Linked DNA regions of Macaca fascicularis. The protein of the gene in region 1 interacts with the protein of each later gene in a biochemical or structural test. Links are inferred from orthologs where the notes say so. Each region holds a gene or a part of one and is shown on either strand. Other genes may lie near its edges.

What was found.
Region 2: of the proteins of MAPK3 (region 1) and DUSP1, one has a biochemical effect on the other in vitro, tested with the Homo sapiens proteins (2 studies listed by BioGRID and IntAct). The link is inferred for Macaca fascicularis from reciprocal best matches to the Homo sapiens genes MAPK3 and DUSP1.
Region 3: of the proteins of MAPK3 (region 1) and GAB2, one has a biochemical effect on the other in vitro, tested with the Homo sapiens proteins (2 studies listed by BioGRID). The link is inferred for Macaca fascicularis from reciprocal best matches to the Homo sapiens genes MAPK3 and GAB2.
Region 4: of the proteins of MAPK3 (region 1) and MBP, one has a biochemical effect on the other in vitro, tested with the Homo sapiens proteins (5 studies listed by BioGRID). The link is inferred for Macaca fascicularis from reciprocal best matches to the Homo sapiens genes MAPK3 and MBP.
Region 5: the proteins of MAPK3 (region 1) and PTPRR form a complex in vitro, tested with the Homo sapiens proteins (2 studies listed by BioGRID). The link is inferred for Macaca fascicularis from reciprocal best matches to the Homo sapiens genes MAPK3 and PTPRR.
Region 6: the proteins of MAPK3 (region 1) and PTPN7 form a complex in vitro, tested with the Homo sapiens proteins (3 studies listed by BioGRID, with this or other methods). The link is inferred for Macaca fascicularis from reciprocal best matches to the Homo sapiens genes MAPK3 and PTPN7.
Region 7: of the proteins of MAPK3 (region 1) and ELK1, one has a biochemical effect on the other in vitro, tested with the Homo sapiens proteins (6 studies listed by BioGRID and IntAct, with this or other methods). The link is inferred for Macaca fascicularis from reciprocal best matches to the Homo sapiens genes MAPK3 and ELK1.

The regions. Positions count from the first base shown.
Region 1 is NC_088394.1:27,971,371-27,975,604, forward strand, and holds the start of MAPK3 (mitogen-activated protein kinase 3), read left to right. Parts: upstream 1-1,372; 5' UTR 1,373-1,407; coding exon 1,408-1,577; intron 1,578-2,601; coding exon 2,602-2,784; intron 2,785-4,234.
Region 2 is NC_088380.1:179,585,377-179,589,732, reverse strand, and holds the start of DUSP1 (dual specificity protein phosphatase 1), read left to right. Parts: upstream 1-1,478; 5' UTR 1,479-1,717; coding exon 1,718-2,084; intron 2,085-2,362; coding exon 2,363-2,508; intron 2,509-2,832; coding exon 2,833-3,052; intron 3,053-3,494; coding exon 3,495-3,865; 3' UTR 3,866-4,356. UniProt on the Homo sapiens protein: Dual specificity phosphatase that dephosphorylates MAP kinase MAPK1/ERK2 on both 'Thr-183' and 'Tyr-185', regulating its activity during the meiotic cell cycle.
Region 3 is NC_088388.1:77,317,302-77,321,810, reverse strand, and holds the start of GAB2 (GRB2-associated-binding protein 2), read left to right. Parts: upstream 1-1,689; 5' UTR 1,690-1,791; coding exon 1,792-1,869; intron 1,870-4,509. UniProt on the Homo sapiens protein: Adapter protein which acts downstream of several membrane receptors including cytokine, antigen, hormone, cell matrix and growth factor receptors to regulate multiple signaling pathways.
Region 4 is NC_088392.1:3,780,581-3,784,357, forward strand, and holds part of MBP (myelin basic protein), read left to right. Parts: intron 1-2,372; coding exon 2,373-2,809; intron 2,810-3,777. UniProt on the Homo sapiens protein: The classic group of MBP isoforms (isoform 4-isoform 14) are with PLP the most abundant protein components of the myelin membrane in the CNS. They have a role in both its formation and stabilization.
Region 5 is NC_088385.1:77,397,996-77,401,772, reverse strand, and holds part of PTPRR (receptor-type tyrosine-protein phosphatase R), read left to right. Parts: intron 1-217; coding exon 218-375; intron 376-1,148; coding exon of another isoform or gene 1,149-1,254; exon of another isoform or gene 1,255-1,299; intron 1,300-3,777. UniProt on the Homo sapiens protein: Sequesters mitogen-activated protein kinases (MAPKs) such as MAPK1, MAPK3 and MAPK14 in the cytoplasm in an inactive form.
Region 6 is NC_088375.1:59,905,769-59,908,395, reverse strand, and holds part of PTPN7 (tyrosine-protein phosphatase non-receptor type 7), read left to right. Parts: intron 1-970; coding exon 971-1,084; intron 1,085-2,627. UniProt on the Homo sapiens protein: Protein phosphatase that acts preferentially on tyrosine-phosphorylated MAPK1. Plays a role in the regulation of T and B-lymphocyte development and signal transduction.
Region 7 is NC_088395.1:47,748,125-47,752,350, reverse strand, and holds the start of ELK1 (ETS domain-containing protein Elk-1), read left to right. Parts: upstream 1-1,225; 5' UTR 1,226-1,398; intron 1,399-4,226. UniProt on the Homo sapiens protein: Transcription factor that binds to purine-rich DNA sequences. Forms a ternary complex with SRF and the ETS and SRF motifs of the serum response element (SRE) on the promoter region of immediate early genes such as FOS and IER2.

The DNA.
Region 1 (4,234 bases):
CTGTGTATCTAATTATGAGCAATTTCAGAATCATAATTACTGTTCCATTTTGTCTCTTGATCTGTAATGCATCCAAGGACCTACTCCCAGCTTCTCAGGGAAAAAAAAAAAAAAAAAAAAACCCACTACATGATTACTTACTGAAGGTTGGGAGCTGTGTGTTTTTGTGAAGCTTCCAGCTCACATCTTTGCTGTGAAATGAGGGGGATGGACTGGATGATCTCCGAGGGCCCTTTCTTCAGTTGTAACAGTCTGAGATGGACAGGTGTGATCCCAGAGCTTTGGGAGGCCGAGGTGGGAGGATCCTGTGAAGTCGGTAGTTTCAGACCAGCCTGGACAACATCGCAAGACCCAGTATCTACCAAAAAAAAATTATATTTTCTTTTTTTGAGATGGAGTCTCGCTCTGTCACCCAGGCGTAGTGCAGTGGTGCAATCTTGGCTCACTGCAACCTCCACCTCCTGGGTACCAAGCAATTCTCCTGCCTCAGCCTCCTGAAGAGCTGGGATTACAGGCGCCCACCACCATGCCCAGCTAAGTTTTGTATTTTTAGTAGTGACAGGGCTTCACCATGTTGGTCAGGCTGGTCTCCAACTCTGTCCTCAAGTGATCCGCCCTCTTCAGCCTCCAGAAGTGCTGGGATTACAGGCGTGAGCCATAGTGCCCAGTCCCCCAATTTTTTTTTTTTTAATTAGCAGGGCGTGGTGGAGCGCACTCATAGTCCCAGCTCTTTGGGAGGCTGAGGTAGGAGGATCACTTGACCCCAAGGAGGTTGAGAATGCAGTCAGTAAATATTACACCATGCACTGCAGCCTGGACGACAGAGTGAGACCCTGTCTCTAAAATAAAATAAAAACAGTCTAGGATTCTGAGAGGCATGGAATTAAAAAGAGCCTCTGTCAGAAGACATCATTTTGAGTCTCAGCTCTGTCATTACTAGTGACCTTACTCAAGTTAGTTAGCCCAATTCTCAGATTCCCCATCTGTAAAATTTGATTCATTTATTAGAACAGTTTTTTTAACCTAGGGTGATCTCGGGCCCAGGTTCTGGTGGGCTGCCGCACACATTGGCTGGGTGGCTCTGGTAGGTCACGCCCTGGCCGCTTCGCCTTCAAGAGGAGGGTGAGGACAGTCTCCGAGGCGGCGCTGCCGAGCCTCCCCATGACTTGGTGACCGCGGAGCCAGCAGAGACCCCCGGGCTCCCGCACCTAGGGCGAGAAGGGCGGGCGCGCGCCCGGGGTGGGTCACGTGACGGCTCCAGGCCCGCGCGGGGCCGGGGGCGCGCGGGGCCGGGGCAGGGGCGGGGCCTGGAGCGCGCGGCCCTGCGGGTGACAGGCGGGCGGGAAGGGGCGGGGCCTCGGGCGGGGCCGCCGGGGGGAGGAGGGCGGCGGGAGGGGAGGAGTGGAGATGGCGGCGGCGGCGGCTCAGGGGGGCGGGGGTGGGGAGCCCCGGAGAGCCGAGGGGGTCGGCCCGGGGGTCCCGGGGGAGGTGGAGATGGTGAAGGGGCAGCCGTTCGACGTGGGCCCGCGCTACACGCAGCTGCAGTACATCGGCGAGGGCGCGTACGGCATGGTCAGGTGAGGGGGCGTTCCGGGGGAGGGGGCGCCCTCAGGGGAGGGGGCTTCACAGGAGAGGAGGGGGAGGCGCCGAGCGCTTTCCGGGACGTGGAGACGCGGAGCGTCCCGAGGAGGCAGGGGACTCGGGATGATCGGGAGCGTCCCAGGGAGGGGACCCCTGAGTGCTTTCTAGGGGAGAGGGCGCTGCCTGCGTCCTCAGGGGAGGGGGCTTGGAGGCTTTGAGTCCACCCTTCTGTAATGACGGGAGGGGCATCTGAGTGCATGTGGGGGCCCGCGGGGACCCTAGTGACACGGGGCGAGGCCCAGAGGATGAGTACTCTCGGGGAGGCGACATCCTTAGTGAAGAGGCAGTGGAGGGCCCCTTTTGGGGGAAAGGGTGTCTTGGATTCCCTCTGTGAGGCAGTGCCAGGGAGCCTGGGGTAGACGAGCCGAGATCAGGGTGGGGCAGGGCTTTGGCCCCACCACCACCACCACCAGGTGCCCAAAGAGAGATGAGGGGGCCAGGAGTGCCACTTGCATGTTTTGGGAGGGGTCTGTGAGTGCCCCCGGCCCCACCGTGAGCTCTGGGACAACCCTGCTGCCCGCTTCCCTCACCCTAGGACCCGCCCCTGCCCTGTCCATTCTCTCCTGCCCCTCCCCTGGCTGCCGTTTTCCCAGTATTTGCTCCATGGTGTGCCCCCAGCATCTGCACCCCCGGACCTGTCTTGGGTTAAGGAACCTTTCCTGGGAATGGGGGCGAAGGGTTCAGGGCCAGTAGAATGGAAGGGGATTGAGGAGAGGGGAAGTCAGTGAGCGGTCAGTCTCTTCCTCTGTTTGTAAAGTCACCGAAGGGCCGCCTGGCTGGTCCCCAGCTTTCTCTCTGGAGATCCCAGCCCTACACAGCAGGAAGGAACCAGCATTGTTTATGATTTGACCAGAGCCAGCTCCTGCTCTCTCCCCTCCCTGCCAAGGCCTGGGTGGGGCCACCAGGCCCGGACTCCCCCTTTGTAAGGCCACAGCAGCAGCCTCTCTCCGGTCCCCTCAGCTCGGCCTATGACCACGTGCGCAAGACTCGCGTGGCCATCAAGAAGATCAGCCCCTTCGAGCATCAGACCTACTGCCAGCGCACGCTCCGGGAGATCCAGATCCTGCTGCGCTTCCGCCATGAGAATGTCATCGGCATCCGAGACATTCTGCGTGCGTCCACCCTGGAAGCCATGAGGGATGTGTATCCTTCACCTTGCCCAGTCCGCTGGTCATATACAGCCTCGGAGCTGGGCTGGGGACCCGTTGCTTGCTTTCTGTTTCCATCTTACCCACCACCCTCCAAAACAAACCCAGTAAAATAAACTTTCCTGCAGAGGAGAAGCCACAGTGTAACAGGACTTAGAGGCCTCTGATGAACCCAGGCCTGCTGCAGCCGGGCAATATGGCCTTGAGCAAGTCAGTTCTCTGCTCTGTGCCCCAAGGGGGAGGGCTAGACAGGATGGTCTCTATGGGAGTGTTGTCTTCTGACATCGGCAGTTCTGAGACATGACCCAGCTTCTGCCCACAGTCACTTCTTGCTAACAAATGGATGGTTCTTTCCTCTCTTTCCTCCTTCCCCAGACTGGAAGGGAGACAGGGAGAAAGCAAACTGTCAGCTGGGCGTGGTGGCTTATGCCTGTAATCCCAGCACTTTGGGAGGCTGAGGTGGGCAGATTACCTGAGGCCAGGAGTTGGAGACCAGCCTGGCCAACATGGTTAAACCCTATCTCTACTAAAAGTACAAAAAAATTAGCAGGGCATGGTGGCGCATGCCTGTAATCCCAGCTACTTGGGAGGCAGAGGCAAGAGAATCGCTTGAACCCAGGAGGCGGAGGTTGAGGTTGCAGTGAGCCAAGATCGTGCCACTGCCCTCCAGCCTGGGTGACAGCGTGAGACTCTGTCTCAAAACAAAACAAAAACAAAAAAACTGCCTTTCTTGAGGTCCTACTGCGTGTCAGGTACTATACATGCCCAATGCTTTTTTTTTTTTTTTTCTATTACACCTCCCAACTACCCTATGAGATAGGCTTTGCAGCTTCATTTCAAAGATGAGGGCAGGGTGCAATGGCTTACGTCTGTAGTTCCAACACTTTAGAGGCCAAGACCAGAGGATCAGTGGAGGCTGGGAGTTCAAGACCAGCCTGGGCAGCATAGTGAGACCCCATCTCTACAAAAAATTTAAAAATTATCCAGCTTTGGTGGTGCATGACTGTAGTCCCAGCTACTTGGGATGCTGAGGCAGGAGGATGGCTTGAGCACAGGAGTTCAAGGCTACAATGAGCTATGATTGTGCTACTGCACTCCAGCCTGGGGGACAGAACGCGACCCTGTCTCAAAAAAAAAAAAAAAAAAAATGAAGAAGCTGAGGCCCAGGAAACCTAAAATCAAGTGTTTCTGTTGCTGTCTCCTCCTCCCCTCCCCCAGATGGAAACTTGTCCTTCTTAGGACTTCTCACTCAGAGCCACACCCTAATCACCTGTGGACTTGCACCTTGCCCAGGGAGGGACAGCCTAGCCTTTGTTGTCCTCCCCTGATACTGCTTTCCTAGTTTGCTGTCCACTTCCTGTCTGGCTCTCCTTAGCAACTTGTGACACCTGTCACCTCTTCCCTACCCCACCCACCCACTCTCAGTCCCAGCCCTCCACCCAAGA
Region 2 (4,356 bases), on another chromosome or scaffold:
AAAACACACAAGCTAAGCGAGGCAAATGCAGAAGTTGCCTCTGGTGATACAGCTCGCACAACGACGACAGAGGGTGGCCAGTGAAATCCCCTCCCCCAGGAGGGGAGGAAACCGCAGAATGTTCCTGACTCGGCACCCGGGCCGGTGGCGCAATGTTTATGTTTGTGTACCTAGCGCGTCGCGTCGCTGCAGCAGGCTGTGCTGTCCAGGGGGCCGTCACTGGGACTCAGGGCATGGATATCGCTGGGCGTTGGGGGCGGGGGGTCTTCCCAAGCGTTGCGATCCATGTCCTGGCAGTCCGCCCAGAACGGCCCGGGATTGGATTTTGCCTTCAGCCTATAACGGAAGCGACGACAGGGAGCGAGGGTTGGGGCCGGCTTCTGTTCCGGGTTGGAGCCCCCCAGCCCAGCGCTTAGTGGGCGCTCACTCAGTATACTGCCTATTTGTGTAATAAAGGGATGGAGAAGCTCGGTCTGGAGCCAAGGTGACAGAAACGTGTCGGGCGGCCCCTGGGGGGCGCCGTCGAGTCGCGCTGCGGGTCGCCCCTCACCCCTCCAAACGCCAAACCCGGGAATCCACCGCGGGGCCTTGCGACCCCCGACCGGGATTTCAGCCCCTTGACCTGCCTTCCTTGGCTCCAAGTCTTCCGGGGGCCACAGACTAGGAATAGCATTATTTCCCGGTGGGGGTTTGCTCGCTTACACTTTCATGGCAAATGTAGATATTTTAAAGCCACCTTAAAGAAAGTCGGGGAAACAGGAAAGCATTGCCCTGAACCTCTCCGCCCCAACTCGCTCGAGTCGTTTTTGGTAGGAACGACTTTTCTATCGGCAGAGCTGTTCATTTTTCTCCAAACTTCATCTTAGGCGCCTCTGTGCTGCCCCACGCGCCGCCCCACCCCACACCCCAGTAGTGTGGTTCTGGGCAAGTCAGTAGCTTCGCTTGGGGAACCTCAGTTTCCCCGCCTGTTAGTGATGAGGAAATGAGAGAAAGGGGCACAAGAGTATGCAAAAGCGCAGGAAGCCCCTTTCGGCTCAGGTCGAAGGCCGAGGGGCACGGGGAAGGGGACTCGGGGAGGGAGAGACGGAGGAGCGGCGAGGCCAAGGCAGATGGCACGTCGCCCATTCTCCCGGCCGCTCGCATCCCAGAGGTCAGCCTCAGCTGGCAGCGAGCCCTCCGCCTCCCCGCTGGGCCCGGAGCGCGGCGCGGGCCCAGTCCCTGGGGACGCGCCAAGAGCAGGCCGGACGGCAGGGCGGGGGCCGGGCCGCGAGCCAGCGCGCAGCGAGCGGACCCAGCTCCGAGGCTGATGACGTCTTCCCCTGTAGCTCGGCGGCGCCGGGCCGGGCAGGGCGGGTGACGTCACCGCCCCGTCACGTGATCACCATTCAAACAAACACCCTCCTCCCCCTGCGCGCGGGTCAGGCCCGCCCCGTCGCCCAGAGGCCTCATATAAACGAGCTCCCCAGATAGGGCTCGCTGCGAAGGACGTTCGGGCTGTGTGTGCGACGTGGTTCGAAGGGGCAGTCGGGGCAACCGCGAAGAAGCCGAAGAGCCCAGAGCCCCGCGTGACGCTCCTCTCTCAGTCCAAAAGCAGCTTTTGGTTCGGCGCAGAGCGACCCGGGGGTCTAGCTTTTCCTCGAAAGGCGCCGCCCTGCCCTTGGCCCCGAGGACAAAGAGCACCGCAGGGCTGATCACGCTGGGGGCGCTGAGGCCGGCCATGGTCATGGAAGTGGGCACCCTGGACGCTGGAGGCCTGCGGGCGCTGCTGAGGGAGCGCGCGGCGCAATGCCTGCTGCTGGACTGCCGCTCCTTCTTCGCCTTCAACGCCGGCCACATCGCCGGCTCTGTCAACGTGCGCTTCAGCACCATCGTGCGGCGCCGGGCCAAGGGCGCCATGGGCCTGGAGCACATCGTGCCCAACGCCGAGCTGCGCGGCCGCCTGCTGGCCGGCGCCTACCACGCCGTGGTGTTGCTGGACGAGCGCAGCGCCGCCCTGGACGGCGCCAGGCGCGACGGCACCCTGACTCTGGCGGCCGGTGCGCTCTGCCGCGAGGCGCGCGCCGCGCAAGTCTTCTTCCTCAAAGGTACGCCCTCGGGGAAGCTCGGGGCGGGCCGCACACCCCTGAGATTTTGCCCGGTACCCTCGGCTCTTGGCTCCCGGGGGGTCGCCCCACCTGCAGCGCGTGGGCGCTGGAGTACATTTATCTCTGGAACTTGTCATTGGCTTTGTTTGGCTCTGGGAACAAAGACTTGCCTGGGCCTTTCCGCTGTAAACTTCCAGCCCTTGGTGGGTGGGGGAGTCGTATGAAGGTGCCCTGTCCCGGCGTCACTGAGGAAAAAAAAAATGTCTTTGTATTCCCAGGAGGATACGAAGCGTTTTCGGCTTCCTGCCCGGAGCTGTGCAGCAAACAGTCGACCCCCATGGGGCTCAGCCTTCCCCTGAGTACTAGCGTCCCTGACAGCGCGGAATCTGGGTGCAGTTCCTGCAGTACCCCACTCTACGATCAGGTTAGTAGGTGTCCCTGCCACAGGGGAGAAGTAAGAACTGGCAAAGGCACGGAGGAGTGGTGCCAGGGAGAATATAGAAAGTGACCTGCAGCATTATTTATAACGGAGGGGACACAGGGATATGATTGTAGGCTCTACAGAAATGAATTTGCTGGTCCTGCCCAGGCAAATGGGCTTAGTTCCCTATTTATTTATCCTCCAGCAACAGAACTGAGTTCACTCGCTATCTGAAATTGACTTTTCCAGCAGAAAGTTTTTGTGGGTGTGGGCACTGGCCTTGGCTTTGAGCGAGCTTGATGAATGTTGGATATTTCTGGATTTCAGGGTGGCCCGGTGGAAATCCTGCCCTTTCTGTACCTGGGCAGTGCCTATCACGCTTCCCGCAAGGACATGCTGGATGCCTTGGGCATCACTGCCTTGATCAACGTCTCAGCCAATTGTCCCAACCATTTTGAGGGTCACTACCAATACAAGAGCATCCCTGTGGAGGACAACCACAAGGCAGACATCAGCTCCTGGTTCAACGAGGCCATTGACTTCATAGGTAAATGGAATGGATGCCTGGGGCTTTTCTGCCTCTCTGTTCTCATTTTAGCCCCTAAGCCCAACCTCTGTGGCAAGAGCTTGAAGTCTTATGAGCCTTCTTCCAGACATTCAGTATCAGTCTGGTGTGGGCAACATTCCTGCAAAATGTGAATTTGATTCAATGTCCCACTTTACAGATTTGCAAACTGGGGCTCACAAAGTTGAATTGACTGGTGTGAGATCTATCTGCTGAGTGGAAATCCCCAGTCTGAGTTTAAATCCTGTGCCATCCTTTGCGCAGTGCCCAAGTTGCTTCCATGAACAGTAGCCATGTGATGGCGTGTGGTGATGTTGACCATTTCTAGACAAGACACACATGACCTTTCTCAGATACACTGTACCTGGGCTTGGGGTGGTTCTCCTGAGCTCTCCAGTAACCAGCCGCTCCTTTTGTTTTCTAGACTCCATCAAGAATGCTGGAGGAAGGGTGTTTGTCCACTGCCAGGCGGGCATTTCCCGGTCAGCTACTATCTGCCTTGCTTACCTCATGAGGACTAACCGAGTCAAGCTAGACGAGGCCTTTGAGTTTGTGAAGCAGAGGCGAAGCATCATCTCCCCCAACTTCAGCTTCATGGGCCAGCTGCTGCAGTTTGAGTCCCAGGTGCTGGCCCCACACTGCTCGGCAGAGGCTGGGAGCCCCGCCATGGCTGTGCTCGACCGAGGCACCTCCACCACCACTGTGTTCAACTTCCCCGTCTCCATCCCTGTCCACTCCACGAACAGTGCGCTGAGCTACCTTCAGAGTCCCATCACGACCTCTCCCAGCTGCTGAAAGGCTGTGGGAGGTGAGGCTCTTCACATCCCACTGGGACTCCAGGCTCCTTGAGAGGAGAAATACAGTAACTCTGGGAGGGGCTCGAGAGGGCTGGTCTTTATTTATTTAACTTCGCCCGAGTTCCACTGGGTTCCTAAGCAGTCGTTGTGATGACTTAGCGTCAAGACATCTGCTGAACTCAGCACATTCGGGACCAATATGTAGTGGGTACATCAAGTCCCTCTGACAAAATGGGGCAGAAGAGAAAGGACTCAGTGTGTGAGCCAGTTTCTTTTTGCTCGCTCCTGTTTTTTGTAGAATCTCTTCATGCTTGACATACCTACCAGTATTATCATTCCCGACGACACATATACATATGAGAATATACCTTATTTATTTTTGTGGAGGTGTCTGCCTCCACAAATGTCATTGTCTACTCCTAGAAGAACCAAATACCTCAATTTTTGTTTTTGAGTACTGTACTATCCTGTAAATATATCGTAAGCAGG
Region 3 (4,509 bases), on another chromosome or scaffold:
AGTCTGTGTATTGAATCATATAACTATCAAAGGATATGTAAAAGACTACTCTTCTGGGGGAAGATAGGGCATACGTCTGCCTGACTTGCATCACAAACCTCAGCTGCAGCCAAACCATGCAGATTTCTTCGACTCTGCAATCCCTGGGACTTGGCACCATGACTCAGATGTGAATGAAGTCAGGATGGGTTTATTTTGGTGGGGAGTCACCGCCTCCTGATTGATTTGGCAGACGTTAAGTATTGTATGTCTTACAGGGATTTAAGGTACTTAAAGCCAGAAGTTAAAATGGCCATCATTCTGGTGGTGGCCCTTCATATGTGACTTAAGGATCCCCAAATTGGAAGGTTAAGGGAGCTGTGGTCCCAGCCTAACAGTTCTGGCTTTACTTCCCATCCAGCAGCACAGTGGATATTGAAGAAAGTCAGTGAAATGTTAGATCCAGGAGACTGACTGCTAAAACTCCTAGGGTATCTAGAAGAGCTAAGTACGTGATAGCGGATTCGCTTTTCCAAACTGAGGAGGGTGAACTTCCCCCAACCCAATCAAGATCTGTTGGACCAAATGATGTCCAACTGCTTGAAACATCTCAGCTGCACAGAGACAGAAATGAACAAAACAGCTTTAGTCTAAGGTTGTGTGGGGCAGTGCAAGATGCTGCTTCTCCAATTCATCTGTCCACACAGCACGGTTCCCCATTGAATAAACAGGATACTATCCACTTATCAGAGAAGTTAGGGAGGACCTGCCTTTTAATGCTGCTTGGAGAGACACTGTCAATGAGCGGGGACGTTGGGGAATTTGGACCCCAATTTCTTGTTCTTCTACACTTGACCTTGCCTTCCAATTCACTATGAAATATATTTACTAGGTTTGCTTCTTCCATTCTACAAATCATGCGAGTTTTCTATACTTAACTGTTTTCCTAGAGGCAATGTAGGAGGGACTCAGCTGGACTTTGTTTCCAGGCAATGAGAGGCTCCCAGGTTGATCCCATTAAGGCAATGCCCTCATTTTGAATAGGGGATGACTGGGACCCCTCCTCCCCCACACACCTGAATTGGAAACTTGGCTAGGCTTTGTACAAGCCCTTGCCCTTAGGCAGTCCATAAAATGGGAACAATACTGAAGACAATCCTGTAAGCCAAGAGTGCAAAGGCTCCGGCGCGTAGTAGGTCCGTCTCCTCCTCCCGCCGAGGGGCGCCAGAGTTAAGGAACTTCTTACTGGGAAGGGGTCCCTCCTTTCAGCAGGAACCTGACCCGCAGAATGGATCGGAAACGCGAGCAACCCTCGGATCCCTTCCCCGTCGACGCTCGGTGAAAAATCGATCGACGACGGAGGGCGCGCAGTCCCTTCTCCGCACGCCCGCCAGCGCCAGGGGCGCGGCCGCCTCCCCGGCCTCCGCGCCCGCAGCTTGAGGCCTCAGGAGAAAGCGAGATTCCGGGGCTCGCCGGCGGCGGTGGCTTTCTGTGTCCTGGCGGATCCCCAGCCCCGCGTCCGCGTGCGCGGCGGCCTCGGGGGCGCGGCGGGAGCGGGCGTGGCGAGCGCGCCGGCCTTCCCGCTGCAACTGCCCCCGCGGCGGCCCGGCGGAGAGTGCGGATTGCGCGCGCTCGGGGCGGGGGAGCGGGCGCGCGCGAGGCCGCCGGGCGCGCGCCGCGCCGCCTAGTCCCCGCCGGGCCGCCCGCCCCGCCCCTGGCCTCCCGCGAGCTGCGCACCGCCGGCCGCTGCCCCAGCTGCCCGAGCCCGCGCCCTAGTCCGCGCGACCCAGCGGCGGGCTCCAGGCCGGCAGCATGAGCGGCGGCGGCGGCGACGTGGTGTGCACCGGCTGGCTGAGGAAATCGCCTCCCGAGAAGAAGTTGAGGCGCTATGTGAGTGCGGGCGCGGCCGCCGAGGGGCGGGCGGGCGGGCGGGGGGCGCTCCGGGGCCTGCGGAGGGGCGGGGGGCTCCCGGAGGGGCGGCAGGCTGGGGAGCTCGGGCCCGGAGCCGCGGGGGCCGGGGGCGAGGAGCGGCCAGGGTCGTGTGGGGTACCTGCACACCTGTCACAGGTGCGCCGCCGAGGGGCGGGGCGGGGCGGGCGGCAGGTTGAGGCTGCGGCTCCTGCTCCGCCAGGCGGGCGCGGCGTCGGCGCCTCCCCAGGCGGTCTGCCCGTAAACTAAATATAGTGTCGAAGTTTGTATTGATGGCTTCTGGAGACCGAGAGAGTTGACTCTCGGGGCTGGGGCTCCGCGGCGGCCCCTAGCAGCTTCAGCTCACAGGTCCGGGAGAGGGCGGGAAAGGGGGGCGTAGGCTGTGGGCCCGCGCGGACGGCCCCACAAAGGGCGAGCGCCTCACGCCCTCTCCTTCCCTTTCTCCGCCCGCCCCTCCCGGCCGCCGGCCTCACTCCGTCCGCGGCTGCATCACCGGCAGCGTCAGCGGCATGTGCAGCCCTTGTATTAAGTGACTCATTTGTTTGTCCCCCTTCTCTCCCTTTATTCCGTTCGTCTCTCACAGGCGCCTCCCCCGACCCCGGTGTGACACTGCAGTTTGGTCCCCGTGGCTGGCCCGGGTTTGGGACCTGGCAGCTCCCGGTTGTCTGGGGTCGGGAGAGATCGAGGCTCTCGGCGCCCAGGTGTTGCCAACCCACAGTGTTTACTGACATCGCTGGAACAGCCTCTTCCCTCTAGGTGGGGAACTGGCAGTTTGGGGGAGGTGGAACGGCGTGGCGCTGAGCCGTGGAGTTCTGGCTTTTTTTTTTTTTTTTTTTTAACCCCTCTCCCCAGAGGATGCCTTGCCTGGTGAGGTCAAAGTACAAGATGGTGCCAGTTACTGAGATTTTGCCGAAATGGTCCTGGGGTAGTCGCGGGAGTTTGGAAGTGGGGGTAAGGTGGCTGGAAGGTTTCAAGGTCTCTCATCTGCTCCCTCTCCTTTTCCCATGAAATGCCCTTGTTTAACGGGCTGTGGTGCCGGACTCCGGGATCACTCCCACAGCCTGGAAGGGAGCCGTTGCCTCCAGCTGCAGTGCATCAAGGGAGCTCGGAATAGACCCTGCCCTCTGTCAGCTGCACCAGTGGCTGTCCATGGGGGGAGAAGCAGAAGCCTACCAGAATTTCCTGTCTTGGCTCCCCAGATCAGAATCAAGGGACTTCTGGCCTCTGGACTGAGGAAGTGACATTCTGTTTTTCAAAGGAAGTGTTGTTGTTGCGGAGTGCAAGTGTGTGTGTCAATGAAATCAGGCTCTTACGTAGATGTTTGCTAGGAAAAAAAAAATTCTGATTTAGCACATGACTTTTGAAAGTGGACGTGGATTTATAGGAGGGATGAAGCAGTGAATTGTTCATCTCAGTTTGAAAGCTCATTTTTAGGAGTGTCTATGTAGCCAAAGTATAATTATTAAGAAATACACTTTTTTCCTCTTCAGGCTTGTATCAGTTCGTTAGGAAGGTTGAATACTTTAATTAGGATTAAGGAGCAGTGATTTACTATTAACAATTTAATAAATATTTTTAAAACTTTGTCCCAAAGAGCTTCCAAAAATTATCTTTACAAATAGATTTCCATACAAGCTAGTGGAATAGAGTGTCCACAGTAAAAAAAAAGAAAAAGTGACCCTTAGTTTTCAAATTTGAACACTACACTAAACCTTGAAACTTGTTTTTGAAACAATTTGCAAACAGTATGACATTGTATCTCCATTTGACTTACCGCTCCTTGAACGCTCACCCAGACTCTCTTTATGACCCATTTCTTGGGTGTTTTTGTTCCCAAACAACTTTAGTTCAAAAAAACCAGGTTTGGAGGCATTTGGGTCAAGCACCTTTTTCACTCATTTGAACGAATCTAGAATCGTGTGATGGCCTTAGCCTCTCTTTCCCATCTTCGATGCACCTTCAGCCCATCAGGTGTCAGACCTTAACAGCTTTCAGTAACAGCTTTTCTTAGGCCAGGATGTGATGTGTTCACTTACATGACTGGAAGCCTCTGCCCTTTCGAAAGTTCAGTTTCCCCCCAGTTGAAACTGCTGATCTGTGTAACCTTAAGCTTCCGGGGAACAGTATTCTTTTACGTCTACTGTTTTTGGGGGTATTAAGAATTTTTGCATCCTGTTGTAAGTTAAAACTCTGCTAGTTTGCTTATTTCAGTAGAGGCCCGAGTTCATCAGAACCAAACTTGGAAAGTATTTCCCAGCCTAATGGCTGTATATTTACCCCAAAGTAGCTGCTGCTTCTGGTATACATCATAGTCATGTTATATTGTACTGAGAAATCCTCTTTATAAGAATGCCACAAGCATATGAGATAAGGGGAAAAAGTAGTTGATGAACTAGGTTATAACTATTTAAAACGATTTTTTTAAAAACTGATTTAATTCGAAGGCTGGGCGCAGTGGTTTATGCCTGTAATCCCAGCACTTTGGGAGGCTGAGGCCGGCAGATCACTGGAGGTCAGAAATTCGAGACCAGCCTGGCCAAAACCCCGTCTCTACCATAAATACAAAAATTAGCTGGGCGTTGTGGAGGGCACCTGTAGTCC
Region 4 (3,777 bases), on another chromosome or scaffold:
CTGGACCCAGGACCAGCATGGCCACTCTCCTGCTGCTTCTGCCACCTGTAAGCCGATTCCTCGCAGGTTTCCAGGGGGGCCTGCCTTCCCCTCTGCCAGAAGCATCCTCCCCAACTTCCCCAAGTCCTCACAGGGCCCAGACTCTCATCCTGTCCAGATGTCACTTCCACAAGGACCTTCCTGCTGACCCAAGCCCTCTCTGCTTTCCTGTTCTCTTGCCTGATGTGAAGTTGCCCATTGCATGAGTCTCCCGGGGCTGCCAAGACAAATTACCACATGCTGGGAGCTTAAAACAACAGGAATTCTTCTGTGATCATTGTGAAGGCCGGAACTCTCAAGCTGAGATGTCTGCAGAGCCCTGCTGCCCCTGAAGGCTCTACAGGAGAATTTGCGCCATGTCTCTTACTCCTGGTGGTGCCGGAGGTGCTTGGTGTTCTGCGGCTCGTAGATGCACCCCGCCACGCTCCGCCTCCATCTTCACACCTCTTCCCTGGGTGTCTGTGCCTGTGTCCAAACTGCTCTCTTCTTATAAGGACACCAGTGATGGGAGTAGGGCCTACCCCACTGCAGAATGACCTCCTCTTCACTTGATTCCATCTGCAAATATCCTATTTCCAAATAAGGTCACATTCACAGGTACAGAGGTTAGGACATGGATGTATCATTTGGAGGGATACTATTCAATCCATAACATACATTTTCACCTGCTTTCCCCACTAGAATGTAGGTTTCACGAGGACAAGGACCACATATTGTTCATCACTGTAACTCAGATATCTAGAACAGTACATTACACCTATTTGATACTCACAAATAATGGATGGATGGATGCATGGGTGAACAGATAGGTAAATGGATGGATGCATGAGTGGATGGATGGATGGATGGATGGATGGATGGATGGATGGACGGATGGATGGATGAGTGGATGAATGGATGGATAGGTGGATAGATGGATGAGTGGATGGATAGGTGGATGGATGAGTGAACAGGGGATAGATGGATGAGTGGATGAATGGATGAGTGGATGGATGGGTGGATGTACGTATGTATAGATGGATGAATGGGTAAATGGACTGATGTGTGGATGGATGAATGCATGAGTGGATGGATGGATGGATGGATGGATGAGTGAATGGATGGATGAGTGGATATATGGACGGATGGATAGATGGATAAATGGGTAAATGGATTGATGATGGATAGATGGATAAATGGAGGGGTGGGTGGATGGATGAATGGATGGATGAGTGGATGGGGGATGGATGAATGGAGGGATGGGTAGGTGGGTGTGTGTATGGATGGATGGATAGATGGATAGATGGATAAATGGACTGATATGTGGATGGATGGATGGATGGATGCATGCATGAGTGGATAGATGGATGGGTGGGTAGATGGATGAGTGGATGGATGAATGGATGGATGAGTGGATGGGGGATGGATGGATGGCTGGATGGATGGGTGTGTATGGATGGATGAATAGATGGATGGATGGGTAAATGAACTGATATGTGGATGGATGGATGAATGGACAGATAGATGTATTGACTGGTATTACAGGAATATGTGAGTGAATCCTGTTTTCTGTAGATAAGTAATCGAGTTTGGAGAGGAAACTAAGTAAATGATATTCATTTAAACCTAACACTATAACTTGAAAGTAAAATGGCTTTAATGTCATTTGTGTCAGAAATGCTGTGTTTTTTGGAGAAAGCTATGAGATGCTGGTATACAACATGAGATTTCTCAATCCCACTTCAGATTTCTAATTGTTTCTGCTTCCAGAGGAGAAGCCAAGTCAAAATGTCCTGAATAAGCAGTTCTCTATTGTGAGAGGCCTCTTGTGGAATCTGGGATTGAAAAAATTCTAAATGCCCCACTTCTTTCATGCATGGATTGCAAAAAGACGTGGCAAGTTTTGCTTCTGCCAAGAAAACTAAAAACACCTTTTGTGAAATAAATGATCCTTACATATTTAACTTATGCACCAGTGGCCTTTTAAACAGTCCATGTCCCGTTAAGGTGCCTGCACATCTGGGGCTCTCCAGGAGCAGCCATGGCAGCACCCAGGAAGAAATGCTGATGTGGCCGCTCTGCGTGCTCCTACTTCATCGGGAAGCCTTGGTGCATTTTACCCAGGGTGCCAAATCTCGAATAACTGAGGAATTCCCAGGACCTTCTGAAACACAGAGCTGCAATAAGCCTGCTCCATCCAGGTTAGCTCCATCCTAGGCCAAAGGCTTTATGAGGACTGCACATATTCTGTGGGTTTTATAGGAGACAGCTAGGTCAAGACCCCTGAAAGAAAGCTGCTTTGTCCGGTGCTCAGCTTTGCACAGGCCGTATTCATATCTCATTGTTGTTTGCAGGAGAGGCAGATGCGAACCAGAACAATGGGACCTCCTCTCAGGACACAGCGGTGACTGACTCCAAGCGCACAGCGGACCCGAAGAATGCCTGGCAGGATGCCCACCCAGCTGACCCAGGGAGCCGCCCCCACTTGATCCGCCTCTTTTCCCGAGATGCCCCGGGGAGGGAGGACAACACCTTCAAAGACAGGCCCTCTGAGTCCGACGAGCTCCAGACCATCCAAGAAGACAGTGCAGCCACCTCCGAGAGCCTGGATGTGATGGCGTCACAGAAGAGACCCTCCCAGAGGCACGGATCCAAGTACCTGGCCACAGCAAGTACCATGGACCATGCCAGGCATGGCTTCCTCCCAAGGCACAGAGACACGGGCATCCTTGACTCCATTGGGCGCTTCTTTGGCGGTGACAGGGGTGTGCCCAAGCGGGGCTCTGGCAAGGTGAGCTCTGAGGAGTAGAGGAGCTTTAGTTTAAATGGAAAAGCAAAGGAGAAATCAGTAGGTGAACTAAGCCATTAGAGGAAGAACTGGCACGTAGCCTCTTGCTGTCTAAGGTCTCGTTCCATGCTGGAGAACGCATATGAGCCCAAGAGTGTGGGCCTGAGTGGCTGCTTAAGACGTTTTCATTTGACTCACCCCCTCTCTTCCTCACAAGGGATGACGGCCGGGGTGTGGCTCAGGAATGTAAGGACATGCTGAATTCTGGATGTCCAAGGGTGCCCGGACATGGGCATTGCAGAAAGACAGCCACATTCTCGGGGTCTCTGGGGGTGTGCGCTTGCGGACTTTATGACTGATTTGCCTCTGCGGCCCACACGCTGGGGTTCAGCCCGGGTTATGCTTGTTTTTTCCAGGAGTCAGTGCTGCTGGCTTCATGTTGCAGCAATCATAAGATTGAGGAAGACTTTTGAACAAAGTCCTCAGTTTAAATCCGCCTTAAGCAGACTTTCTCTCTGGTGTGAGAAGTGGAAGGGGTGGAGGGATAAATGAGTGTCTCTGAATCAAAGCTTTATTATCTTGTGATTCCATTAATTTGCATACAGAGTCTTAGAGGTTTCTTTATTTAAAAGCAAATGTTCTGTGGATAAAAATGTATTACAAGGAGAGAAAAAAAAAAAAAAGGAAAAACTCTGCCGTGGGGTCCGGCGTCTAGGAGTGGCTTCTGCAGTTGATTGTCAGTGGCGAACGTGTTGCTGCTGGTTCATCAAAGCACTGGTCCCTGAGTGCCATTCGGATTGCAAATGCAGCATTTCACGTGATGCTTAGAGTGTTTGGTGGTTGTGTAATTTTGGAGAGAGAGAAGTTTTTCCCAAAAAAGTCCCTGGTGTATTGGGCGTTCTCTCACAACCTGTAAGATGCAGCTGGTTTTCTGCCTGTGCGCAGGGCTGACTCTGGAATTCCGGAAGGCC
Region 5 (3,777 bases), on another chromosome or scaffold:
AACAAAGGTAAGACTTTCTCACTTTGTGAACTGAATACTGACAGTAAAGTCTTCTCAAAGTAAAAGGGCACTCTTCAAAAATCTTCTAAATGTTTTTCCCACCTAGAAATAAATTGCCAGCAAGATGGGGGTGATAAAAAGGCATTCAGTATTGTGGTTTGGATGACTTTTAGTTCCACAAGTGAATGAGGCATTTGGTGGCTGTTGCTATTTTCAGCAAGGAAGCCACACCCAACATGTGAAGCATTACTGGTACACCTCATGGCCTGATCACAAGACTCCAGACAGTGCCCAGCCCCTCCTACAGCTCATGCTGGATGTGGAAGAAGACAGACTTGCTTCCCAGGGCCGAGGGCCTGTGGTTGTCCACTGCAGGTAAGATGTGAATGGTCCTTTCTGTCTAAGCAATGGCCCATTCTTTGTAAAGTCATAGAGCAGGTACAAGTGGGTTTTGCTTCCTGGATGTGACTTTGTTGGCAAATTAAATATTTATTGAAACTGGTTAAGTCCCTTATATTTGAGTCTTAATCAAGATTATGCTGACAGAAGTGAGGTCATGCTTTTAGGTCATTTTTGGCAAACAACAATTACACAGTAGGCGAAATACAAGTTCGAAATAAATGGCTCAGTGAACAGGAGACCTTATTCAGCAGTTATCTGCTTTGAAACTTATATTGATTCATTTAGTCTCATCAGTCTTGTACACACTAGGAATTAAGATGCATTCTTTGAAGTTATCAGTGACTTTTTTGTTGTTTCAAATGACAAGTGAACTCTGCTTGGTTTGTATCTTGGTAACATTTATTACTATTTCAAGTTTGGTGAAAACCAGTCAATTATTTTAAGAGTTATCTCCAGAAAAACAGGTTGAAATAAATTTATGAAATGAGAATTGAGCAAATGGTAGTTCACCAAAGGAAAACAAAGTGCTGTGACCAGAACACGGAGCGCTAGAGGCCAGGCCAACAACAGCAGCAGGGTCTGTGCTGGTTCCCGTCCCTAATTTCTAGTTCAAAGCTCTCCTCCTAGAACTGATACCTCCCTCCCCTTGTTTTCCTTTTAATGTAACCAAACTGAAGCGAGTGTTTTTAAAGTAATTTATATGAACAACTATTTATTTATTTATTTATTTATTTATTTTGAGACAGAGTCTCACTCCATTGCCCAGGCTGGAGTGCAGTGGCACAATCTTGGCTCACTGCAGCCTCGACCTCCTGTGCTCAAGAGATCCTCCCACCTCAGCCTCTGAAGTAGCTGGAATTACAGACGTGCGCCACCATGCCTGGCTAATTTTTGTATTTTTAGTAGAGACGGGGATTTCACCATGCTGGCCAGGCTGGTCTCGAACTCCTGACTTCAAACGTGATCCACCTGCCTTGGCCTCCCAAAGTGCTGGGATTACAAGTGTGAGCTACCAAGCCCAGCCAGCCATTTATTCTTCATGCTTTCTCAAAATAATTTGTGTTGCTTTGTTTAACCGCATAGGTCTCTTAAGTTAGCTTTTGATGATATATTTAATAAATATATTATTTTAGAGTATAATTTTAGCCTCCATTTTTGAGATTGTGTGGTTTAATTAAGAGTAAAGTTTAATATGTGTCTGTTTATCCGAAGGTAGATAACACTGGCTTTATCCTAAACTTAACTTGGAGCCAAAAAAACAAAAACAAAAAAACAGCCTAACTCACTACGCTTTAGGGCTGGAACTGTCCCCCACCCAAAGTCATTAAACACTCAGGATATCTAAAATGAACTAGTCACTTCCCCTATAAAACCAGCTCCCCTTCTGATTACTATTTCTGAGAATGAGACTATCTTTTTTCCAGTCACTCAGCATCCCATGTTGACGGTTATCTCTGGCCCTTCTTTTAACTCCAACCTCAGTATCTAATCAGTCACTAGATGGGCTTTCCCTTCAAAGCTTCTCCCATAATCACCATTTCCTGTCCAGCCACCATAGTTTAAGCCCTTCTGACCTCATCCATGTATTTTAGAAGTAGCTGGTAAAATGCACACACACACCACACTCCCCCATGCTCTCACCGCCACCATTGTCTACCTGTGCCCTTCTCCGTCTTACCTTACATGGAGTCTCTGCTCAAAGTTTGTCAATGGGCCAGATGCGGTAGCTCACGCTTGTAATCCCAGCACTTTGGGAGGCCGAGGCGGGCAGATCACTTGAGGTCAGGAGTTCAAGACCAGCCTGGCCAATATGATGAAATCCCCTCTCTACTAAAAATACAAAAATTAGCCAGGCGTAGTGGCATGTGCCTGTACTCCCAGCTACTTGGGAGGCGGAGGCAGGAGAATCGCTTGAACTGAGGAGGCAGAGGTTGTAGTGAGTCAAGATCCTGCCAGCGTATTTCAGCAACCTGGGCAACAGACCTAGACTCTGTCATAAAAACAAACAACAAAAAAACTAGAGCAAAAGTCCCTAACCTTGAACCTATGCATAAACCGCAGAAGTCAGTGGACTTCTTGAAATTATTTGAACACATTTGAGTATGTAAAGTTATGTGAATTTTTCTGAAGAGTGAAAGCTTACAGTCTTCATCAAATTCTTATTTAAAAAAAAAGGATGAATTTCAAGCCTCTTAGACTTCCATATAAGATCGCAGGGTACCTTTCTATCTTTATTTCCCACAGTTCCACTAAAATAACTTCCTCTTCAAGACAAGCTATTCTACTTATTGTTGCAAATCATATTTGCTGTTTCTCATTAATTCTTTCCTTCTTTCGTTATATATCGTTGTCGCACCTAGAATATTCTCCTCAATTATGACAGCCTAAATACCTGCCATTCATGGGGCACAGTTCCAATCCTATTTCTTCAATGAAATGAACTTTCTGTGGAAACTTCAACTAAAAGGGAGCCACTCCTCTGAATTCCTCTGCACTCACGTTTGACAGGAAACAAGTGCCAAATGTGAGAAATAGGTGCTATTTTAGTGCCAAGAGGGGAGCAATTATTTCCAACCATGGGAGCCGAAGAAAACTTCCAAAAACTAGAATAATGATGAACTGAGCCTTTTGAAACAATCAATGTTGTAGTTTTAAAAGGAGGGAGGGCATTTCTGACCAAGAAAACATTATTAACACAGAAAAATTGGAAAACCAAAAGCTGTTTTGCAAACAATTTATGTAAGTGAAAATCATGGCACGTGGGAAGGAAGACAGCAAAGTACAAAAGGCTTAAAGTTAGTCACATTCAGATTTTGCAAGGTCATGAATACCATGGTAGGGAGATTAGACATTATGCTACAATTAATGGAGCCATCTACAGGTTTTGAGTAGGGAATGATATAATTAAGTCCCTATTTCAGAAAGATGAACCTAGCAGCTGTGCGAATTTGTCCAGGAAAAGACTTGAGACTTGGAAACTATAATGAGATCACTGCTAATCATGATAAAAGGAGATGTTGAAAACGTGAGTACAGTCTATAGAAAGGAAAGCATGAATCCCACAGGCTCAGCAGAGATGGAAAGTAGAAGAAGTGGTAACAGGTTGGATGTGGGAGGTGAGAAGGGGAGAGATGTAAAAGATGGTTCCAAGATTTCTAGGCTGGAAAACTTGTGGCTGACTGGTAATGCCATTGAGGGAAAAGATAATGAATTCTGTTTCAGATACATTGAATTTAGACACTTTGAACTGAAGCAAGTCCAAAATAGTAAGAAGGAGATGGAATGACAATCTAGAGTTTAGGAAATTTAGGGAGTCTAGATGTAGATTTGAAAGAATCTGGCCGGGCGCGGTGGCTCAAGCCTGTAATCCCAGCA
Region 6 (2,627 bases), on another chromosome or scaffold:
CCTGAAAGGTGAATTAGCCAAGCAAAGAGAGGGAAGGGAACACATTCCAGGCAGGTGGAACAGCATATGCTAACTAAGGCCCAGAGAAGAAATGTGAAAATGGATACACTGCTGGGAGCAGGGTTACAGGTTGGGCCCAGAGGTTATGTGTGGGGTAATGATGAGAGATGGGTTTGGAAGGCCAGTGAAGGTCAGATGATGAGGGGCCTTGTAGGACTGGCTAAGACACTTGGTTGTAAAATAACACTTTGGCTATAGAGTGAAAAATGGATTGGGCTGGAGTGAGAGGGTATCGTAGGGGATAAGACTAAAGAAAGAGATCATTTGGGAGTGCATATCCTAAATAAAACAGAGCACAGAGGCAAAAAGCATGACACAGGGCCTTCCCAGCCCACCCACAGGTAGCAGTGGGACATGTGCAGGGAGGTCATTAGAGGCTCACGCAAGAGGAACAGGAGGCCTGGGGAGTTTTGAAATAAACAGAGGGCACGATGGAGCAAGCAGAGCAGAGCGGAGAGAAGACTGTGGGAGGGCGCCAAGGTGGGAAACAGAGGGGCCGGGCATGGGCTGCGTGGAAGATGAGTCTGAGCTGAGAGGAAGTCAAGGTTAGATAAGGAGGGCTCAAGGGTCAGCACGCCCACAAGTGGGGAACTGTCTGTTGGAAACTGCTGTAGATGCTCAGCAGAGTGGAGATCATCAAAACGTCCACAGGGACCAGAAGGTGGCCTGCAACAGGCTTACAGTGAGGCTGGTAAGAAATGTAAACTCCTCCCGTGCCAGTTATAACCTGCCTCCAGCAGGGTCCCCAAGGGGACTGGAATCCGAAGTACTCTACCTGCCCCCATCTCCAGAGTCCTATCCCCAAAATACAGCACCTGCAGGTCCCATTTCTTTCTCCATGGTTTGGGGCCTGGCTCTTAGATTCCCTTGTCTCCCATGACCTCCCTTTCCCCTCCCTGGCTATCTTCAGTGCAGGGATTGGCCGGACAGGCTGCTTCATCGCCACGCGAATTGGCTGTCAACAGCTGAAGGCCCGAGGGGAAGTGGACATTCTGGGCATTGTGTGCCAACTGCGGCTAGACAGGTGGGTCTGTGGGTGTAAACAAGGCCAACAACGTTAATGGGGGGCATCAGTGCCTCTGGGCGTCAGAGCCCTGATAGGCCCATCACCATCAAGCACTCCTGCAAGAAAGGAAGAAACCCTTTCTGCTTAGAGCTGTTTATTTTGCAACTAACAACCAGCAAAAAATATCTATCTGGATGGCCGGGCGCGGTGGCTCACACCTGTAATCCCAGCACATTGGCAGGCTGAGGTGGGTGGACCACCTGAGGTCAGGAGTTCGAGACCAGCCTCGCCAACATGGTGAAACCCTGTCTCTACTAAAAATACAAAAATTAGCTGGACCTGGTGCGGGCCCTTGTAATCCCAGCTACTCAGGAGGCTGAGGCAGGACAGTTGCTTGAACCCAGGAGGTGGAAGTTGCAGTGAGCCAAGATTGTGCCATTGCACTCCAGCCTGGGTGACACAGCAAGACTCTGTCTCAAAAAAAAAAAAAAAAAAAAAAAAGAATATCTATCTGGAAAGTTGGCTTGGAGGCCTGGAATTAAACATGATATGAGGCAACAAGTAGTGCAAAGAAGCTCACTGGGTTGAGGCAGAGCCAGTGTTCACATTCCAACTTTTGTCTCACTGAGATGTCACTAGATTTCTCTGAGCTCCCATTTCTTTTTTTTTCCTTTCTTTCTTCTTTTTGTAATAATAGAGATGGGGTCTCACTATGTTGCCCAGACTAGTCTCGACCTCCTGGGCTCAACAATGCCCCCTTGGCTTCGCAAAGTACTGGGATTACAGGCTTAAGTCACTGTGCCCAGCCCCCACTTCTTTATCTAGAGAGAGATAATGGCTCCTTCCCCCAGAAAACTGTTGTAAGAAATGAGTTAACTTATATGAAAGTGTTTTGGAAATGGAAACTATTATACAAATGTATGGAATCATTATTTTTACTTTTAAGATTATTAGAAAGAAGGAAACTTGAGGCTCAGGAGTATTCCTGGCCCGACTCAAGGCTTCAGAGGTCTGGTTTTGTCCCAGGAGCTGAGTGAATCAAGGAAGACCAAGCGTCAACACGGGGCATCACCCCTCAGCACGTGTAAGGGGCAGAGGACTCCTCTCACAGTAAATCTGAGGGTCAGCAAGGAGGAGTAGCAAGTAGAAAAGATGAATATAGGTGGCGGGGCATGGTGGCTCATATCTGTAATCCTAGCACTTTGGAAGGCCAAGATGGGCCAATCACTTGAGGTCGGGAGTTCAAGACCACCCTGGGCAACATGGTGAAACCCCGTTTCTACTAAAAATACAAAAATTAGCTGGGCATGGTGGCAGGCACCTACAGTCCTAGCTACTCAGGAGATTGAGGCAGGAGAACCACTTGAACCCGGGAGGCAGAGGCTGCAGTGAGCCAAGATCATACCACAACTCTCCAGCCTGGGTATCAGAGTGAGACTGTCTCATAAAAAAAAAGAAAAAAAGAAAAAGAAAAGATTAACACAGGCAAAGGAGTTGGCATGTCCTTTGAGAAAGTCAGGACTTTTCCAGTAGGACCGCAAGAATGTTTGACTGGAGCCAT
Region 7 (4,226 bases), on another chromosome or scaffold:
CATCCTCAGACATTAAAGAGCCTGAATGCCTTTGAGTCACATGGCCCTTCTTTTTCCCCATAAACCCTGCTGGTTGCCACGGGGGCCTGTTCCTAGGGCACAAAGTTACTGAGAGACCCAGAGATCCAGTCTCTTTCTGTGGAACCTCTAAAATGCCCCAACAGTCCTGCCTCCAGCCTGTTGCCTGGCAGCATTTGCCAGTTGACCTTGTGCACTGCCCTCTCTCCTGTCATTTTGGCAACCTGGGCCCCCACCTCACCCTTCCATTCCTTTTCCTAGACACCACCCATTGAATTGCCATAGAGAATGGGCCAATTCATGGTGGAGGTTTGTTCATTCCCACAACAATCAAAGGGCCCTAAGGTTTACCCTTTCACACACCCAATCGTTACCCTAAATCCATCTCAGCCCTACCTTGTCCTAGCCCCTGCTATTGTAAGTGGTTCCAGCTTCTAATAGGCACGGAGCTGGATCCCGCTCTCCCTAGTCCGGCCCCTATTCTAGGTTGAGTCCAGCCTCCGCCAATCAACGCAGAGCCAGGTTCCTCCCCTTTTTAACTCTGGCCACAGTTCAACCCTGCCCTCTGAAGGCATTTCGTTTCTGCCACTCAATGCTCCTTCGTGTGCCTGACAGCCATCCTGCCTTCCTACCGCCGCTGTGTTCTAAATTCGTCTTCTACCCAGCTCTATGGTCTTCTCTAACCAAAGAATTGCCCTGCCCGCCTACGCGGAGCCCAGCCCGACCCACTCCCGCCGACTGCTACGCCCATTTCTATACAAGTCCTGCTTCCGCTGAGCAGCGTGGCGTGCGGCACCACCCCCTTGGTGTTTTGGCAGGGGTCTAGGAGTCCCTCATCCGCCAATCAGAGAAAAACAGGGCTACCCACCCCCGTCCTTGGAGGCTGTCTTCCATCAATCCCATGTAAGCCAATCAGTGTGAGGCAGCCCCCCGCCCTCTACACACACGCCCCGAGCCTCGTCAGTTGCTCACAGTCCGTCAGTCCTTGAGCCAATCGGCGTAGAGCACCGGGAAGGCCGAACGCGCCTCCTCGGGACTCCAGGGGCCGTGAGCGTTCCATCATTTCCCCTTAGGCCAATCACGGCACAGCTCTGTGGGGAAGGGCCCGTCCCCCAACCCCTCGAGGCCTTGCGGCCGATTAATAGCGCTTTGGCCAATCAGCGAGCGGCGGGACACTGGGCTCCTCCTCCCCGGGCCCACGTGAGCCGTAGGGAAACGCAGGGGCGGCTTCTAGGTGCTGCCGCCGCCGCCGCCGCCACCGCCACCACCACCGCCACCGCCGCCTCGGAACCCAGGCCTGGGGGGCGGTGGGGCCGCGTATGGAGCCCCCGCCCCCCGGAGCTGCCAACATTGCCAACGCCACCGCCACGCTACACACAGGTGAGCTCTGGGCCTGGAGGGTGGAGGGCCCCGTCCGTGACCCCACGTATCCTTCCCGCCCCCGCGCAAAGGATGTGGCTTGGCCGGTGGCCTGCTGGTGTTCGACTCCCCGCCGCCACCACCACGGCTGGTGGACCTGCGTGTGGCATTGCTCAAGCCCTTCGTCCCTTGTAGTGGATCTGACCGTGGCCTAACCTCCCCCTCCCGTTGTGTAATGGATCGGTCTGCGTGCTTATGTTTTTCCCCACGCCAACTTAGGGTGGACTCGTCCATAGGCTTTCCCCCTACCCCCACCCGCCCCCCACCCACCCCCACTTACAGGGAGCCAGCCTGTGACAGTGTTCAGCCCCCTTAATAGTAGGTGTATCTGAGTGTTTGGATTTCTCCTAGCCTCAACTTTCATAAGACCCGTTCGTGGCCTTGTTTATTCCACCCCTCCTGTACATTGTAGCGAAATCAATCCGTGGCGCCGCACCCCTCCGCATCCCTCTTTAACAGTGAGTCTACCTGAGTTTGTATTCCTGCCTCCTCCAGTCCCCCAATGCATCAGTCCATGGCTTTTTTCAGAACCACCTCCCCCCCGCCCCCACCACCACCACCATTTTATAGTGGATCAGTCTTCATGTTTGGATTCACGTCCCTTTAGCTATCAGTCCATTGCCCTATCTGCCCTCTCGTTTTCGTAGATTGTCACTCTAGCCCTTGGGGTTCTCTCTTATTTTTAATAGTGGGTCAGTTTAGTGCTTTATATCTCCCTATTTTCAGTAGCTCAGTCCATAGCCTTTTCCCTCTCTGCTTTGAATCAGTCTGTGTGATGGCTTTTCTCTCCCTTTACTGTGGTGCAGGAGTCTGTAAGGTTTTCTGCTCCCCTTCCCCTCAGGCGATGAGCCTCATCACCCCTTCCCTTTGCAGTGGATCTGTTCATTGGCCTTCCTCCCCCACACCCCTGTATGCTTGCACAGTCCCCCGCATACCGTCCCGTGAGTCCAGTGCTTTGTAATTGGGGGAAGGTCGGCCGTGTACTTTCAATTTCCTTCTTTTTTTTCCCCCTTCCCAGAAGAGAACGTGCTGATCCTCTTTTCCTTGTGGAGCAGTGTATGGCCTTGCCTGTCCCTCACCTCTTAATAGTGGGTCAGCCTGATCACACTAGTAACCACAAAGACGTTCTGCCTCACTACAATAAGTGAATACATTAGCAACAGTGATGATGGTAATGCCAGTAGGAGCTAGCGTTTATTGAGCACCTGCTGTGTATCAGGCAGAGTGTTTCATATGAATGAGTTCCTTTAATCCTCACCACAACCCCATGAGATAGGTAGTGAGCGAGCTGGGCCATAGGAAGGTTAAATTCCTTACTCAAAGGTGGCCCAGGAAGTACTCAGGACACAGGATAATTTTTGAGGCTCCCCTCTTAGACCGCATCCCACCCCACGTGAGGCCTCAGTCCTTAAAAACCAAATTAGTTCCCACCTCCAAGCTTTTGTTCTTGCTGTTCCCTCTGCCTGCAGAGTGGTCTTCATTCCCCACCTTCTCTCAGCACCCACCCACCCCCCAATACCAGCAGCTGTGTGACCTTCGATGTGTGATTTAACCACTTCCTCTCTGTACCTTTTTCTTCATTTGTGAAATGGGGGATCAGAACTAGAATCCCCTCCAGTGTAAATAAATATTACCTGTGAATTAATGGTGAAACAAGTAACCTTTCTAGCATTACCGCCTATACCTTCCCACCCCCTTACTGTGCTCCAACCACACTGGCTCCACCACACAGCTCCTCAAACATAGCAGGCATGGGCCAGCCTCAGGGCCTTTGCATTGGCCGTTCTTTGTGCCTTGAACACCACCCCCGGATCTCTGCATGGTTCCTTTCAGCACTCTGTTCAAATACCAACCCCCAAAGGATGTTTACCACACTGTGGTGTGTGGAATGCAGTATAAAAAGATACATGTATCAAAGATGTTTCTAAGAATGCCAGTTTATATATGAGTAAGGATTTTCCTCCTTTTCAAAAGGATGTGTTCACAAGACTGAGGTATGTAATATGCTCTGTAAAGTTACAAATATAAAAGCTGTTTCTAAGAGTGCTACTTGTATATGTGAATAAGGACTGTGTTGTTGCATTGAAAGAATGTGTTCACAAAACTGTGGTGTGTAGCTGGGCACGGGTGTGCACCTATAGTCCCAACTACTCTGGAGGCCGAGGTGGGAGGATCACTTGAACCCAGGAGTTCCAGGCCAGCCTGGGCAACATAGTGAGATCCCTGTCTCTGAATAAAAACCAAAAAACAACCACTGTGGCGTGTGTAATACACTCTCCTAAAGGCACAGGCATAAGAGATGTTTCTAAGAGTGATTTGATTTTGTTGTACCTGGGTAGTGTTATTTCAGTAAAGATTGATTGTCACACCATGGTGCTTGGAATATACTATACGAAGGCACATGTATAAAGAAGAAGTTCCTAACAATGCTACTTGTAAAAACAAAAAAAGTCAACCCCTCCCTGGCCATCTGAAGCTGCACACCCAGCAGGGCTCAAGCCAGGTCCCTGCTTTGTCCCATTGCCCTTTATCACTGTCTGACACACTGTGTGGGTTGTTTGTTGTCTGTCTCTCCACATTAGAATGTGAGTCCCATGAGGACTCAGTTTTTGTCTGCTCATTCACTGCTATGTCTCCAGCAACTGAAAATGTACCAGGTAAACAGCAGATGCTCAATAAGAATTTATCCCATGAATAAATGGGAAAAAGATAATTTCAGACACCAGCATAGGGGTCAGATGGGGAAGAAGAAGGGATATGAGAGCTAGTTAGTTGGGGCTGTTCATGCA